Linked DNA regions of Neodiprion lecontei. The protein of the gene in region 2 binds, or shares a complex with, the protein of the main gene of each other region. Links are inferred from orthologs where the notes say so. Each region holds a gene or a part of one and is shown on either strand. Other genes may lie near its edges.

Region 1 (4,973 bases), on a different chromosome or scaffold from region 2:
CTTAGTAGGTATATTGACAGAAAGAGAAAAGAACAATGTAAATCAATACTTACCCGGAGGTCTATTCCAGTCTGGACGAGGTGGGGCTCCTCTAGGATCACCAGGCGGTCCTCCAGGATGACCAGGTGGTCCACGAGGCGGCCCTTGTCCCGGAGGTCCAGGTGGTCCGCCGTGAAATTGCTGTGCATTGACAAAGTTATGGTTTATAAAGTAGAAAGTTAAGTAAAATTGAGACAGTGTAAAATGAAAGTTCACGAGGATTTGTCTAAGTAGGTACATGCAAGTACCATTCCGGGCGGCCGATGTTGCGGTCCAGGTCCTGATCCTGGTGGTCCTTGCTGTGGAGGGCCACCAGGTCCGCCAGGCCCTCGCGGTGGTCCGGGTGGACCATTGGGTCTTGGTCCGTTCCAAGGACCTTGCTGATAGCCTGGTGGTGGTGGACCCTGATTAGGATGACCAGGTAAAGGATGGTGAGGCCCACCAGGGCCCATGGGTGGCCCGTGCATTCTTGGAGGGCCCTGTTGTCCAGGTCCTCCAGGCCCAGGAGGTCCCATGCCAGGCAAAGGCATACGTTGATTCCGCACGCCTTGCGGCGGTCCCATCATCATTCTGGGGCCGTGGTTTTGTTGCGGGTGTTGAGGATGTTGGGGATGTGGTGAATGCTGGGGATGTTGTTGATGAGGAGGTAAGGATGTTTGATGCTGATGAGGATTGTGTGGGCGTTGATTTTGACTTTGTTGAGGAGCTGGAGCTGGTCGAGTCTTACATTGAGACTCAAACTAAGGACAAATACCGTTACTTAACTCATGAAGATTTCAACGTGTGTTGCGATCAAAAAATCACAAAAATTCCAAACATATATATCTTCACAAATTTCTTGCCGAAAGAATTCAAAGATGTTTTAAATATCAGTGCAGATAGGGCGATAACGGTTGTTGTCTTAGTGATCTGAAATTTTTTAATTCCCAAGACCGGAATAATTACTGTTACTTTTAATATCATCAAAATAATGTGTTACCTGATTAAGTGCCTGCTTGGTTGGAAATGTCACAACTGGGCTCTGTCCATGCAGTTCTTTCTTAGGAAGCCGTTCCATGCATATTCTCATACTTTGTTCAGAACCGAGGGATATGACACAGAAGCCTTTTGACTGTCCGTTAGCACGATTTTCAAAAAATTTCACTTCAACAAAATCAGGAACACCGATACTTTGAACCGCATCAGTTATATCCTGATCACTCGTCCACTAGAAAATAACATCATTCGATAAATTAATATTTATACAGATCCTCGTCAATTTTATCTAAGACAGTTGAAAAATCTCCTTGAATGGCTTCGTTGTAACATTATCCAAACACAATTCGATTATTTTAATTAGTATCAAGCGGCAAAAAATTCCAAACACTTGAGTGTTTCATTGTTATGCATATTATTACCAGTACTTGAATTAATTATTTTTATTCATGCATTATGTAAAGTACAATTTATGATGGAGAATCAGTGTGCTTCATGTCAAACACACTCTGTGTTTCAATTGCGTATGTTACTAAAGTACAGAATAAGAAAGCATTCCCTAAAAAGAAATTCATAAATAAAACTGTGTAGTGACTCAGAGGGAGTATCGTAGTCATCTTCAAAAATTTTACATGGATACATAAAAACCATGTGAGTGTAGAAATCACTAAAGCTTTTGTCTTTTTAAAGCCTTATTAATTTATTTCAGAGATTCTAAAAACTTATGCAAAATATTTAATCATCACGTTTTCCTCATAAGACAAGGATACCGTAAGTACATCAAGTATACGTATGTTTCTGACAGAACAGAAAAGCATTTTACAGTACATGACATTTATTGGGAGGGGACCGAGAAAAAATGTAATAATAGTGAACAATTGATTCATATGTTACCTGTAATGAAACACCGAGAACAGATGTTTTAAATAAAAAGTTTGTGAAGAATCACAGTTCACTTCTGTGAGCGAGCTAAGTGATCTATTGAAGTAAGCATCTGATAAATTTTTTGTTAATACTGAATTCGATTACTAGTGTAATAATGAAATTTTCAAAGAATCAACAAATTTTTGGAATTAACAACCTAACACATAACTTATAGGCAGCCATTAGTTGAAACAATTTATGTTTTAATAAATCAGGCAATGTTAAAATATATTGAAATTATTTAAAATCTACAAAAATAATGAGAACAGATGTGTAACACGAATTGGCAAAGCACTAAAAACTTTGGCATGCTAACTTTCAAACTTGAATGTAAGCTAAAGCTGGAGCTTGATTGAAGTTTGTATTGAGCCTTAGGATAAGAAGCAATTTGTCATGATCAATTGAATCACCGTGCAAAGCTAACTCGACGAATTAGACTCAGACTCCAATCAGCGTAGATGAGCAAATAATGGCTCGAACAAATAATTGTCATAATTATGCTTTACCCAGGTCAAGTTTCCCACGTAAAGTTGGTGGCGTCTTCCAATTTGGTTGGGCTGAATGTTGTTGCCCAATTGATGATAAGGAGCGCTACCGTTAGTCTCCTCGTTAGTTGAGGTTGTATCGCCATCGCCTGCTCCGCCACCAGAATTTGCCCCTCCACTATTCCCACCTGGAGGTGCTGCGATCACGTCGTCGTACAGGTCAACACCTTCCCCAGCAAATTCGTCCTGGTTTGTAAAATGAGTATGCATAGTAGTTTACACGTGAATCGGGGTAAATCTACAGATAATTTGATAGCGCTTAGATATCGAATAATACACGATCGTTATCCGGACCATGACGCCGGAAGCGAATAGAACATTCTCCGGGCCAAATACTAGGCCGGATACAGAGTTTTTGAGATTTAGGTAAAGTAATTACGCGGGGGACGACGTCTAGGGATTTCGATGACAATTCGACTTACCTGTGCGAAATCTTGCTCGAGATCGTCGGCGTACAAATCAATGTCACCGTCAGCCATTTTACAGAACACCGACGCTGGCTTCGGCCGACACAGGACCCACGCCAACTTTCCGACTATCGTACTGTAGATAGCCGACTATCCGCCATTACTGACGCTCTGACTGTAGTACCGCTTTTCGGAATCTGGACTTGACGGCGTTCAGTGATGGCGCTAGTAGCCGCGCAACACATGTATATGTATATGGGAATGTCGGAAGATTCAGTTGTTTCCGTCAGTTTCCGTTTTCGATTTATCGCATTTCATGTTCCGGTTTATACATTGTATGTTCGATACTTTGCCTCGACGATGCAAATTAAAGTTTAACGGTTCGTTTTAATCAGTTGTGGCGATCAAAGGAACGTTTTAGCGATTAGAGGAGCATGTTTCAAGTAGATACGTTTAATCATTAATTATTCATGTACAAAGACAAAATCATTTCTATAAAAGAGATGACAATAATCGGTGATCGGTATGACGTTAGCAGCTATGAGAAGTTGGCTTCGGATCATAGAGGTCCGAACGTAAAACCGGCATTTGCGGACGTTTCGCGAGTGCAACTCAACGGAATTGAGGAAAAAATCAGTTGGTATAATTCCGCAGTTTGGCAGTTCTCCGCCATTGGCATAATAATTGGAGTGTAAATTTGTATTCATTAATCATTAGTTTAACATATAAATCGGGTCGACAAACTTTTCGGAAGATTTCAAAGGAATTTTTTTCTGAAACAGTTAGTAGCTATTCATCATCAATTTTTTGCCAACGGATTTTGGCGGGGGGCGGTGGTGGCCGCGTAGCATAAACAATCGACAAACAACCGAGGCGCTAACATCTAAACAATTGAATGTTAATTTAACGGTCGAATCTTCGTGTGCTATAATTGTTGAAGTGACATCGCGAAGGTGTTTGAGCGAATAAAATCCATCGGTTAAAGTTTCGCTTCTTACGACCCTGAGCTCGAGTAAAATTTAATCAGTAATTTCGAAATGGAGTTCTACCGGATATCAACGCTGAGCTGATTGTCACGATGCAGCGTTACTAAGTCGCACGATTTTTATCAAGAGTGCCCGGGAAAAATGGACCCCCTAAGGAAATATACCTTCTAGGTCTGCAATATACGATTTTTTATTAATTTTTCACGCAGAAAACAATTTGATTGAAATTTACTGGGCCACGAGTAGTCATTTGCCTAAAATCCGGGGAAAAATGGAGCGCATGAAAAAATGTCGTATTTACGTTTATTTTGTCTTTTCTTCTTGTCCTAAAACCTTGGTAGGCTTACCTCGCTAAGTTAAGGTAGGATTAGCAGATTATTTGAAAAAAATCGGTTTTATTTCACATATTGAAACAGGTCAAATTGACAATTCATTAAAGCAATTGCAAGATTATGATGATGGACATCTCGGTATCAAGTTTCAGCATTGTGTGTTCACACTTTGTACACTGAAGGTTGAAATATAATTTTATAAATATTCCTAAGGTGCTCTATATCCGGTCTGGTCTCCTACTACAGGTGCGTTCCGATATTATCTCCCAGCGATGTCAGCAATCTTTTATCTCTTTTGCGCTACCAAGTTCGGAATTAGCTCTGCCTCTGTCCTAGGGAGTTCTTAGCGCTGCCACCTAATTTCGGAACACACCTTGTATCAAAGGTCCATTTTGCCCGAGCGGGTTATTTTCGCCCGATTTTCGACTATTTCAACGGCGGTCCATTTTTCCGCGATGGTTCACTTTGCCCCAGGTTCCTCTACATATTTCACTAAGGTCCGCATATCAGAAAAATTGAATAGCGATTTATCGACGTCAGTACGATGAGTCAGTTTTTCTGCATTTGGTAGTGTCATCATCGTCAACTGACGTACCGACTCTGTATACTCTGTCACTCTCGTCTTTCCATGTTCGCGGCGCGTTAAAAAAGGATAGAGAACGCAGCACTACCGAGTAATCATCGATCAATATTTTCACTTACCCGTCGGCGATCGCAAATTGGAACAATATCGACTAGAGAAGATGTCTCAATGACCGACACAAC
Region 2 (5,102 bases):
GGTATAATATTCTTGGCAACAGCTTGCATTACAAAAAGTGCTGCCTCACTCGAGTCCCAAGTTGGAGTTTGCTGTTGGCCCTGCGGCCCGACAGCACCTGTTAAGGCCGTGAACATTTGACGAAAACAGTGACAGCTGCCCACAACAAATACTACATCCTTGATCAGTTCAGACACACGGCCTCGGAAATCGGCAAAGTCCTCACCGCCACCGCCTTCCTCGACAAGGCCCAACTGATGAAATTTTTTCGTTATTCACAACAGTCACGAAGAAATTTTGCGGTTCATGCACAAAAAGCGTTACTCACGTGGTCCGGTTCCATTTGGCAATGCCTACATAATGCTCCAACAAGTCGTTCAAAGTGGGGTCTAAAAGTGGTGTTAAGATCATCACTATTTCGTTGATAAAGATCTTCTGACAGTCTGTACCACAAGTTGAAAGTGATCTCTGCGACCTAGAAGAGATGAGCGTTTAGCTGAAACGTTATTCATCCGGCATATGCTTTGAGACATTTCATTAAGTGGTAGAAAAAGGTAAGAAACTTAGAAATGTCCGTAGTCGACCCTTTTATTATGTTACCTCGTAGTCGTGATGCCCTACACAGGTGAGCACAAGATCGAGTATCTTCACTGAATAATGTTGCTTGCCTCCTAGGCAACCGCTAACCATTGTGTCTAAAAAAGACTCAGCAAGTTCCGTGAAGATACGACAGTAATTCATGGATCTGTTGAAAATAGAGTATGCATAAAACTATCAGTAAATAACCAGTTCATTATGGTCGATAAATTGAAGGAGAAATGGTATGTATAGGTATCTCTCAAAAAAGAAATAGACAATAGAATTCGAAGTACTTCTCCATATCTTCATGAGCAACGGATAAGTGATAAGGCTGCTCAAGATTCATCACGCTAGTGAAGACACACAGTTGAAGCTGCTGCCGTTGCATTTCTATTTCACCGTTACTTTGGCTATGATTCAAGCAACCTTCGTCTTTCAATGACTGCAGTAAAACACAGACGCAATCTGTGGCTACTTCATGTAGCTGTGATCCTGTCATGTGGTTACCGAGTACCTGCACGAATGATCGAGCAAAATTTACAACAAACGAAAAGCTTTAAAATTCAACTAAACTTTTTATTCTACCTTCTGTTTGTATCACCAAATGAGAAATAACATAAGCATTCCAAGTGTAATTTGATATGTTGTTAATATAAAAATGAACTTTGCACACCTTTCAGTGACCACACAGTTTAGCTTACCTGGAAAGCGTATGCCACAACATCGCTGCTTCCGACAGCTTGAAGGGATATCGCATGAACTGCTACCCAGCTGGTAAAGCATCGAAGGATCCTGACCTGAATTTGTGCATTGTCACCACCGTTTTCTAAGCAAACTTTCTGCCAAGAAAAATATCAATTCATTAAATGTCCCACTACCAGAAGTGACTTTAGTTTCATAATTACAATTAATTGTTTCGAAATACAAGAAACAGATCTCAAATTCACAATCTCAAGCGCAAGTTTTTGAAGTTGTGCTAGCCAAAGTTGGGCATTGCTTGACTACCAAATGTTGGATCTATAAATAAACAACCGTAAAATAACAAAGAATAAGAAAATACTCACCAAGAACTCTGTAACCGTATCGGCACTAGCATTAAGGTCCATGATGATATGCTGACGCCGGTTAGCGCCTAATCTAAAGTTTCAAACAATGTATTCAATTACTTAGCGTTATCTCAACACCCACTTTTCAAGGTAGTTTGGAAAATACATACAATGTAATTTTTTGTGTTAAATATTAGCAACTCACTTGAGAGATCTGGAGTTGACTTCTTCTGGTAAAACTGTCATGACTTCTAAGAGTGGCCATAAGCTAGCTGTGGCTCCGCCAAACCTGTTGATTAGATCAACAACTGGCTTTTGCCATGAGCACATTTGCAGAGTGAGATCTGCGAGTGCTAAGCACAGCTAGAAGTAAAGAAAGTTTTAAAATACCGAGACAGTCAAGGAAAAAAATTCAAATTTCCAATTAAAAATAATTGGATATTATTTAAGGCAAAATATTTAAAATTTCATGTTCCTGTGTCAATTGTATAACTGATGCGCACCTGTGTAACGATGACGTTGCTGGTGTGCTCGTTTATTTGGGATATGTGATCCATCAAAGAGTCTCTCAATGAATTGTGAGCCTCTGCAGGCAGTTCGTGAAATGACAATTGTATCTTTGTACGCATGGTCTGCGCAGCAAAGTAACAAGATTCTACATCTCGTTTTTGCTGTAACATTTCGTCCGCTACTTTCCATGCGAACACCTGTAGAAACAAGATATCACGTTTTCCCACATGCTTCTCAGCTACAGATATGAAATGGAAGGGTATAATTTTTTTTCAAAGCCCTAATTCCCAACACTCTCAAATCTTCAAATTTAATTTTTTGTCGCAATAAACTGCATATTTTGACAGAAATTAAAAAAAAAACTTTAAATCCACTTGTCGGTTAATAAAGAAATTGCATATAAATTTCCTCTCGTTTTCCAAACATCAGACCAAGATCTAGGCATTTTGTTAGCATGACGAAGTTTGACATACAATTTAAACTTTAACATAATTATCAGCTTCTTCCAAATCAAGTATTAATTTTGTCTCTTTTTTTTTTGTAAGGAGGGCATGTGCCAGGATCAAAAAAAGTGGTCGACGTCCGAGAAAATTACAGGTTATGACGTGTGATGGTGCACGCGACTTTCTGACGTTCCGAATCGAAAATTGGGACTGTAGTGAGATTAGATATAATATGAGGGCCGAGGACTCCTTCCGGAACGAAAAATGCTCGTTAGGTATAAGATTTTCAACAAACTGAGGTTAATACTCACGGAACTTTGTAGCTCCCCCAACCATACCGAGGCCTTTTCCTTCTCGGCTGAGTTTGGGTTGTTGTAAAGGGAATACACAGCCTGATAGACAGTTTCCAAGGAAGGCGATGAATCCATACTTTAAAAAATAGTTTTCCCCTAAATAATCTCCATACATAAGAAAATCTCTGTCACAACAAATTCACAGGCGTTGTTGGACGACGATATCGGTCATGATCCGCGGCCTGTCCTGACTTCACTTCTTGTTTTTCGAAGAGTCTGCTGCAACGGTGCCGGTACATGCTGCACCACGCAACAACCTTCAGAGCCAGTGAAATTTTCTATTTCAATTTACAGATGGGGCTAGTTACCAGTCGGTTGGAAAAATTTCTCTCTCACCGACCAAGCCCGCGGTAAATTTAAATTCATCTTACGCCAAGTATGGTAGAAAGATTGAACACTATAATCACTGTTGTCAAATTATCAACAGCATAACTCTTTATTAACAACGATACACGGTTCATATAAATGCTTAGAAATAATCACGCATATTGATGTGTTGAGCCGACCGAAACGTTCAATCATCGGATGAGGGCAGTAATTTTTTATTTATTAATTTAGCGAAGGCTGTCACATTTTCAGTTTTGACATGACAGGCACAGGTTACGGGGTAAAAAGATCAAACTTATGTTTCAAAAACATTCATCGACGCACTCGACTAAATTGAAAGAGCGAGATTTGATACATAAAAGAATTACGGACCTCGCTGAATTGCAGAGAATCTACGAGTTTGGTGAGATTTTAGGGAAAGGAAGCTTCGGTACTGTCGTTAAAGCGAGTCACAAAGGGTCGGGGCTCAATTGGGCAGTTAAAATTATCAATAAGTCTCAAGTACGTTTAAATATTTATTACATAATAAGGATCATCGTTGCGTCAAGTTTCATGCAGAGCACTAAGTTATTTTCATTAGGCTGGCGCCTCGAGAATAATGCTCGTCGAACGGGAAATCCATATTCTCAAGTTGGTCTATCATCCGAACATAATCCTCCTCGACCGCGTTTTTGAATCGCCGAAGGTGAGAATAATTTTATAATTTACGTTCCAATCGGTTCAGTCATATTTACACAGTTTTACTAACATTTTTACTAGATATTATATAGTAATGAATGTGTTTTTTTGTTTATAGACAATTTATTTAATATTTGAGCTTTGCACGGGGTCGTTAGCAAAAACTTTCAAAGCGAAGAAACGCTTCGAAGAAAAGGAAACATTGACTGTTATTCGTAGCTTGGCTGGTGCCCTTTCCTACCTACACAAAAACGGTCAGTGAAATTACTGCAAGATAGGCTCATCGATATTTCACCCTTTATAACAGTATTATCCTTTAAAGCACTTATAATTGTAAACCGTGCTGTCAACGTGAATTTAAACCATTATTCCTATAAATTCCTGGAACACTCAAATAGCTTTCAGTTCCAATTCTTGAATGCTTCTATTTCAACGCTAGAGTCGATTCGAAACTAATTAACTAAGTATTCAAATATGGCAATTGATCACCACAGAGAAACATGCCTGTAGTTATAGGTAAATGATACATTAATTCGTTGAGGATCGATTACATTTTTTATCGTACTCTTATATTTTGAAAACATATCTGTACAGACATCGTTCACCGTGATCTGAAGTTGGAAAATATTCTGATCGCTGCGAACCCGCAAAATCCGGACGACGATTTACATATAAAAGTAACGGACTTTGGGCTTAGTGCGGTGCGGGGCGGTACGGGATACGAAACCATGCTGCATGATTGTTGCGGCACGCTTACTTACATGGGTAAATAAATTCTACTGAAAATATTATTAGACTTAGATATAAGTCTTATATAATATTATATAATATTACTCATTCGCTTATAATTACAATCGGTTCCAATATAAGATATTTGAATACAATATAGGTGTTTGAATTTATTTAATTTTGTTTAAAACCGGATTTTTATCACCAACGTCTTCTTCGCACAGCGCCAGAAATGATCTCCACTAAATCTTATAGCCAGCAGTGTGACGTTTGGTCCATGGGAATTATAATGTACGTCCTGCTCGTTGGGAAGTTTCCATTTTATTCTACGAACGATCAGCACCTCCATATGCTCGTTAAAACACAAGAGCTTGATCTTTCTGGTGCGTAGATATAATTCACGTACCGTGTACGGTACCTTTCAAACGAATTAAAGACTCTCGTGTTATATTTAGGTC
Region 3 (7,185 bases), about 8.1 Mb from region 2:
TTGAATATGTGCTACAAAAATAGTAATAAACTCTGTCTCACCACCTCGAGTAAATACTTTGTTCAGTTGGCAGGTTGAAATACAGTTTCGACTGCACATCGACAGTAACCAGTGGGGTGTCTGATACGTAATTACAATAGACACGTAAATTTTGGAGCTACTTGATCGACATGAGTGATTCAGAGTATAAATTTAGGGCTATGCACTCAGATGAAATATACTAAATCGCACAAACGAAAGAAGATGAGATTATGGAAACGAAAACAACGAATTTTGGAGAGTAAGGTGTAATTTGTGAGGTTTCGCACCTAATATACGAATTAATTTTAAATGAACCTCGGAGGTAGAACACGCGCGATTTTGACAGTGGCGTGAACGTCAAATACCGGCATGTCAATACCAGATGCCAGATCGCCAGCAGCAGAAGAGGCTCGGTTAATATAAGCGGGCGGGAGCGACGGCGAAGCGCGAGGAGAAGCGCGGGACGGGTATTGTTTTATCGATAAGAAAATATGTCGCAGGATCGGCACGCGATCGAGAATAACGAGTGATAGAATTGTAATTGGTAACGAATATATGTCATGTTTAATATTCGCGAATACGTAATGGGTGATATAGAGACCGCCAACGAAAGCCAAACTTGACAGTAAGATCATTGCCCCCCCGACCGTTTGAAACCGAAATATTTCGTAAAGTAGCTGTTAACATACCTTTTAAAAAGCTACACTCAGCTAGTTTATATTCTGGCAAACACTTGAGGCTCTTTCGATTACGTTTCACACAGTTTACCGCGGCAAACCGAATTTACTCCGCGATTTTTCCGCGCTCGAGCCAAACACCAAAAATCCCTTCACGGGTTGAAGATTGTACCTCAACGTATCTCGACCCTGATTGGTCGAGGTGTAGGGTCTTCTATCAGGGTCCTCTATCAACCCGGCATGCCTTGCGTCGTACAGCCCGCGCAAGAAGGGATACCGATGACGCATTCAAACGTTATTCAAACATTATTACACCCGCAGCGAGAAATATCACATCATTTCTTGTTATTGTTCAAATTGTTAGTTTTGCGGACTTATTTTTTCTTTATTCACCATTTTAAGTCGAATATACACCAGCAGCAGGGAATTTTGGCTTGTTCCAATTAATATTGTACGTAATGAAAACATAATGCAACATACGCCTCCAAGCCTAGCGATTATTGTGAAATTTAGTATATTGACGGTAAAATATTAGAGTTCATGAAAAGAAAATGGGATGGGATACGTTAACGAGGGATTCGTACGGTAACATGTGTAATCAAATATCTAAACTTACCTACTGTAATTTCTGGAAAAACGAAAATTTTTTTAAGACTCAATAGTGACTTCACAAATTTCAGGATCGGATATAAATAAACCGTCACGGTAACGTGCGTATCTTTGACAATCACCAGCTTGCTTTTATTTATATGTCCTTTTTCCGTTTATCAAAGCATAAGTGATTGATTTTTTTCTCCTGAATATATATGTACGGAGTGAAATGAAAACTACAAAAACATCGTACTTGCAACAATTGGTCACCGTCAAATCAACATCTGTAACTGAAATCAAAGCTCCCTCTCGGGTTTGTAGCATTGAAAATAAGTTGAAAAATCTTCAACCCATGAATAATGATTAATTTTTTGTTATTCACAAGAATCTTTCTCTTCTCAGTTTTAATTAAACCAATTCAAAAAGACTAGTCAAATCAATTAAAGTATCCGCTTCCGAACTGTGACCGGGCCACGCCATCTTGTTTGTTCCACTAAGAGTGAAGCAGCGGCCGTGAACAATTAAGGCGCAAATATCGTCACTGTTGCATTTGATGATTAACTAGACTCTGTTAGTTATTCCGTTTAATCAAGATGTCTCACGGTGGTAGGAACGAGTGTAGGATTTACGTGGGAAATTTACCACCAGATATTCGTACCAAAGACATTCAGGATCTTTTCTACAAATTTGGTAAAGTTACCTTTGTTGACTTGAAAAATCGTAGGGGGCCGCCATTCGCCTTCGTTGAGTTCGACGACCCAAGGTACGTATTTTTTTGCGTTTCTACCTGTTAGGTTAACATACGGGTGTTGGGCATACTTGTTTATCGCATATTATGCTCAGCGCGCTCTATTCCGCCCTTGTCGCTAATAATCATGCTCATCTCTAGGCCTATGCAACGTAACCTTGTACTTACATTGCGTGATCTATTTTTGATAGCAACCACAAATTTACCAACCATTTGAATTCATGAGCGAATTACGTCTATTAACACGTATCCGCATTTATGCACAAATACACGGCGATACTTTAAAGTTAAATTGTGCTTAATCGTTTTAGCGGATGAGAGTTCATGCATATTGCATAGCTTGCAGAAGTCACTGTGAAACTTGTTACACCGAGCGCACATTTGAATGGAAATTACATATGACTGTATTCAAACTTTACATCAATTAAAGCCCACAGTATCTAGGCACTGGCAGTCAGTGGATGTAAATGACGGCAAGATTGGCAGTCGAGAAATTTCACGGCTTTATAGCAAAATACTTTCGGGTATATTCCATCCTTGAGCGAGCAGGTGGCGCAGTGGCTAAGGCTCTGGAGCAGTGAACTGGCAAGCTTGGGTTTGAGACTTTGGGCCATAGAACTTTCTGTGTCTTATTTTTTGAAAGAAGTTCGACCTTCATCATACTTTTGCTACGGGCTTGATAAATTATTGTATTGCGTTGTCATCCGAAACCCCAACACACACTGGGTTATGATTTCGCTGCCAGTTTGTGGCTACCAACCATGCTGCTGTTATAGTTGTTATTCTGTATGTAAAAACTCAGGGTCTATTCCATCTATAAAGTGAATTACATATCACTCCAAATACGTAGTCTGCTAACCTCTCAGCCAAAAATTCTGGATGTGCGTCTGGTTACTTTATAGTGCAACAAGCCACACTGACCTAAAAAATACAAGTTTTGCAAGGTTACTGAATTATTAACTTTGCGCATCCTATAGTTTTTACAAGACAGCATAATTGGGAAATATCAAGGAATTTTACTGAACAGATCAAACATTATAAAAACTCGACAAAAAAATAAAAAATGAATAAATAAAATAAAAAAAAAAAAAAAACAAGAAAAATCAAAAAACTGCAGGTTTTGGTTCTCCGACTTGCAGTTTATCGAAACTCAAGACTGTTTCAGATATATTTTATGATACAAAACAGGTTCTACTCGGAATCAAGATTTGCATAGTTGATGAGGAGTAGTAAAACATGATTTTTTTAAAAAAAGATTGTAGATTTTTTAACAGTAAACCTTACTAGCTGTCATGTAAATCAGTCTTCAATTTCATTCAGTTGGACAGCATAAATAGCTAGGCAAAAGTTTTTTTCAAAGTTACTACAAATTTTGCAGAGTTTGGCGATTAGGAATTTCTAACAATCTGACTTCTTGACAGTGTCTTTTGTAGGCTCAAAGTATCTCCAATAGTTGACTAATCTTTTCGAAGATATTCAGTTCATATTGTAGAATGATAGTTTCATGTTGCAAACCAATTTCATATATGATGTGAACTAATTTTAAGTTACACAGCTTCAGTAAACTTCACCTGAAACATTTTGATCAAATGAATAAAAATAAACAAATAAGTAAAGATGTTTATATTGAAATTACAGGGATGCCGAAGATGCAGTACATGCTAGAGATGGTTATGACTATGATGGCTATAGGTTGAGAGTAGAATTTCCCAGGGGTGGGGGACCAAGTAACAACTTTCGCGGGGGACGTGGTGCAGGAGGTGGTGATAGTGGCGGTAGAGGTGGCAGAGGTGAAATGAGCAATTCTAGAGGCCGTGGTCCTCCGGCTCGTCGATCTCAGTATAGAGTATTGGTTACGGGGTTGCCATCCTCGGGAAGCTGGCAGGATCTCAAAGACCACATGCGCGAAGCAGGTGACGTTTGCTTTGCAGATGTCTACAAAGATGGGACTGGTGTCGTTGAGTTTCTACGTTACGAAGACATGAAGTATGCGGTCAAAAAATTAGATGACTCCAGGTTCAGATCGCATGAGGTACAACTTCTATGTTTATTTGTAATTATTTAGTGGAGTGCAATTAACTGAACTATCTTTTTCCATATCACAGACATATTTTCTCTTCTGTAAATGACAAACTAGACATTGAAAAAATGTAATTTTCTAAAACTGAAAATTCTAGCTTATCGATTTAAGTTAATTTTTAATGTACTGCAGGTAAAAATATTGCAGTAATTGAATTGGCCTAAAATTTTTTGAAGGATTGCACCTTATTTCATGACAATTACAATAAATTTTGTTTGCCTCAATATTAATACATGCCTTAGCCACAACAGTTTCTCACTACTTCAGCATTTTTCAAATATATTATTATTTAAACAATGATCGTAAATGTCTTATTTCTTGTGACTGTCACGTTAACTTTTTATCCCAATTCTCAGGGTGAAGTTGCATACATTCGTGTCAAAGAAGACCACAGCAGTGGAGATCGCGGCCGCAGTGAAGATCGAGAGAGAGGACGTACTCGTTCGAGGAGTTACAGTCCACGTCGTCGTGGTTCTCCTACCTATTCGCCATTGCGTCGCAACTACTCGCGGTCACGCTCACGCTCCAGGTCTCGCTCATACGATTAGTGTGTACGTATCAATACTATATAACCTCAGTGATAATATGAGTGATTTTTCAACCACTCATGCCTTGCCGAATTTCGTTTTCACTGCTTTGACTCACTAAAGACATTTATCTTGGCTGAATGAATTGTAAATTGTATTTTACAAACTGTATTCAGGTTGTCGTTGCATAATTGACAAGTATGTTGTTACCTGTGTAATACATACGATCACAGGTGCAGTGTAACATAAGATTTTTCACAGTCTTTGATAAACATGATTCTTTTTCCTAATAATTTTTCATCCCTTTCTTGATCACTTCAGAGGGAAATCTTGACAAGTTTTTGGCATCGAAAAATTGAAAGGAATTGAATACTATCATTATACTTGTTGTGAATTGCATCACTTTTTTTCTACAAGTTAAACCTAATCAGTTTTATTAATTGTCAATTGTGGTTGATGTTCTGATATTGAAATAGCTTTTCATGCATAATGTCTGTAAAGTTAACAGTGTTCGGTTTACTCAAATAAATTTGTACCAATTGAACTAGACAATTACAAAAGTTCAAGGAAAACATCTTTAACGGCCACATTTTTTTAAACATAATAGTGCTTTGATACAAGATATGAATCGTCACCGAAACCTATAGTGATTGCCGAAATTTTTGAATATACATCGTGAGTAATATTCGATATGTCGAATAATTCTGTACCACTATTGTTTTATCAAATCAATCTGCAATTTCTTGGAATATTACATAAAGTCTTCGTTCCATTTCTTGGTACCATAATATTAAAATGCGCACATGTGCATATTCTTTACTATGCCCATGTAAAGGAATAATGTTTGCAATCCCGATTAATTATCATTATCAGCTAGATCAGGGATAGGATTGTAGATCCGGAGCTGGCGTAAAATTCGCAATTCACAACAAATATGACGTGATATATCATTATCATCTACAAATACGGATCAACGCGTGATTTAATGTTTTATTTTTTGCCCATAAAAATTGTTTTAAGCCATAATTATTATTGCAGGATAACAGATCTTTGTCAGATGAGACCTCATGGTAGCCAAATATGAGAACAATGATTTGGTGATCATGAGCATTGCGAGACATTGCGCTGACAACCCCACTGCATCTTTTTACTCATAACATGCTGTACACCGCGTCATCTCCCACCTTATGTTTAATACGTTTATAACTTTTAATGAGAAAACTATCTGCAACAGACAAGTTTCAGTATTCATAAGTCTTAACACTTATGAAAATGGATTGTGAAAAACACTTTTTCAAAGCATATACGTGGCAAACCACAAAGTATAGTCATTTTAAAGCTTATGCAGAAAGTAAAACGTATTCTCCTGCATTATTAAAACCACCAATCCATTTCTATAAGTCTTTGATGGATAACTCAATCCTGTGCTTAAAAGATGTAAATGTGAAAAGATTTTCTAACTGCACACATATTTATAAGCTTTCGCTCTGAGTCGATAATGCAAAGAGGCTCTGAATATTATAAATATTTTTACCAATGGGAACATCTGAATATATTTACATGTATTACATATTATAAATGTTTAAGTAAAATATCCATTCCTTTGAGAATATTATCAATTGTATATACGAGTCATAGGTCAGAGTTGCATGCTCAAATTCAGCAATGTTCCTTACACAACTCGTCGCAAAACGATTTCACACCAATTATATGTTATCTGAATCTTGAAGCGATTCCTTCGATTGCAACAGAGGAATAGCCTATAACGTATTTTCATTGTATTTTAAAATATATTTAATTCTATTACAGAGTTAATATGTGTTCATAATTCGAAAGAAATACAAAGATTCATTCCTGTTGTCGTTACAATCGCTTAGGGATTGCAGAATACGCGTTTGGGGTTTAAAGTTTCGAATCTGATATCGATTATCTATTATTGTATCAAGAAACTAATGTATTTTTTCTTCTTTTGTATATTGGATTGGATTGTAACACAATGAATGAAAAACTGAGAAACTACACGATGTTACTTCTTGGATGGATATAATGCTTCGTTCATACTTGACGATGGGATGGGATGGAATGCATTTTGGATGGATTTGTATGGAGCATAAATTTAAGCGGATTAAAGATAAGTCGCAGTGAGGATAATCAGGATTAAGGATAAATTTGGACAAGAGGAAATTCAGGAACGCGATCCTCAAGCAAGGATATATTCGATTCGAGGATTATCGATTAGCTGGGATTGGATTCAAGCTGATACACATTGGCAAGTCCATTGAAAACTCCGTGAAATTGACGTGGTTTTTTTCGTGTTTCTTCCTTTTTTCTTCCTAAATTACAGTCTGTTCACGTCCATCCACAAACACTTCAGTGTAGAAATTTAATAATATTTTTAAACGTGGCTAAAACATCAAGAACATATACCATGTTTTAATGTATCAAGTTGAGATGATTTGTTCTTTAAAAATTCATATGCATATTCATTTCATTTAAGTTTTATTATTTTTTTTTTTTTTGTTTCAAGCTGAAAAATTTGTG

Evidence for each region.
Region 1: the proteins of transportin-3 (region 2) and cleavage and polyadenylation specificity factor subunit 6 are in contact, whole or in part, in a crystal structure (PDB 6GX9), measured with the Homo sapiens proteins. The link is inferred for Neodiprion lecontei from reciprocal best matches to the Homo sapiens genes TNPO3 and CPSF6. Residues at the interface, in NP_036602.1 of Homo sapiens: Arg620, Asn656, Arg657, Glu660, Arg661, Arg664, Arg667, Phe668, Arg671, Ser698, Cys699, Tyr702, Ile706, Asp709, Asp747, Asp750, Asp751, Arg754, Arg758, Gln761, Cys793, Arg797; in NP_008938.2 of Homo sapiens: Tyr521, Arg522, Glu523, Arg524, Ser525, Glu527, Arg528.
Region 3: the proteins of transportin-3 (region 2) and serine/arginine-rich splicing factor 1A are in contact, whole or in part, in a crystal structure (PDB 4C0O), measured with the Homo sapiens proteins. The link is inferred for Neodiprion lecontei from reciprocal best matches to the Homo sapiens genes TNPO3 and SRSF1. Residues at the interface, in NP_036602.1 of Homo sapiens: His155, Arg157, Arg160, Thr167, Tyr254, Ile256, Glu257, Glu304, Glu340, Ile341, Phe343, Asn344, Tyr347, Arg348, Glu351, His352, Lys355, Thr356, Arg620, Asn656, Glu660, Arg661, Arg664, Arg667, Phe668, Arg671, Ser698, Cys699, Tyr702, Ile706; in NP_008855.1 of Homo sapiens: Ser116, Arg117, Arg118, Ser133, Trp134, Gln135, Lys138, Asp139, Arg142, Glu143, Gly145, Asp146, Cys148, Tyr149, Ala150, Asp151, Val152, Tyr153, Arg154, Val172, Arg173, Asp176, Asn177, Arg181, His183, Tyr189, Ile190, Arg191, Arg198, Pro200.

What each region holds. Positions count from the first base shown.
Region 1 is NC_060265.1:7,461,486-7,466,458, reverse strand, and holds the start of cleavage and polyadenylation specificity factor subunit 6, read right to left. Parts: upstream 3,056-4,973; 5' UTR 2,963-3,055; coding exon 2,906-2,962; intron 2,670-2,905; coding exon 2,445-2,669; intron 1,247-2,444; coding exon 1,019-1,246; intron 780-1,018; coding exon 288-779; intron 181-287; coding exon 54-180; intron 1-53. UniProt on the Homo sapiens protein: Component of the cleavage factor Im (CFIm) complex that functions as an activator of the pre-mRNA 3'-end cleavage and polyadenylation processing required for the maturation of pre-mRNA into functional mRNAs.
Region 2 is NC_060262.1:41,795,815-41,800,916, reverse strand, and holds the start of transportin-3, read right to left. Parts: upstream 3,102-5,102; 5' UTR 2,986-3,101; coding exon 2,869-2,985; intron 2,312-2,868; coding exon 2,108-2,311; intron 1,968-2,107; coding exon 1,810-1,967; intron 1,696-1,809; coding exon 1,623-1,695; intron 1,398-1,622; coding exon 1,260-1,397; intron 1,073-1,259; coding exon 852-1,072; intron 725-851; coding exon 580-724; intron 455-579; coding exon 308-454; intron 234-307; coding exon 1-233. Other genes in the region: serine/threonine-protein kinase 33-like, read left to right, coding at 3,535-3,738, 3,818-3,922, 4,034-4,169, 4,510-4,680, 4,869-5,027. UniProt on the Homo sapiens protein: Importin, which transports target proteins into the nucleus. Specifically mediates the nuclear import of splicing factor serine/arginine (SR) proteins, such as RBM4, SFRS1 and SFRS2, by recognizing phosphorylated SR domains.
Region 3 is NC_060262.1:33,701,827-33,709,011, reverse strand, and holds serine/arginine-rich splicing factor 1A, read left to right. Parts: upstream 1-1,766; 5' UTR 1,767-1,882; coding exon 1,883-2,052; intron 2,053-3,675; coding exon 3,676-4,069; intron 4,070-4,473; coding exon 4,474-4,665; 3' UTR 4,666-4,668; intron 4,669-5,682; 3' UTR 5,683-6,663; downstream 6,664-7,185. UniProt on the Homo sapiens protein: Plays a role in preventing exon skipping, ensuring the accuracy of splicing and regulating alternative splicing.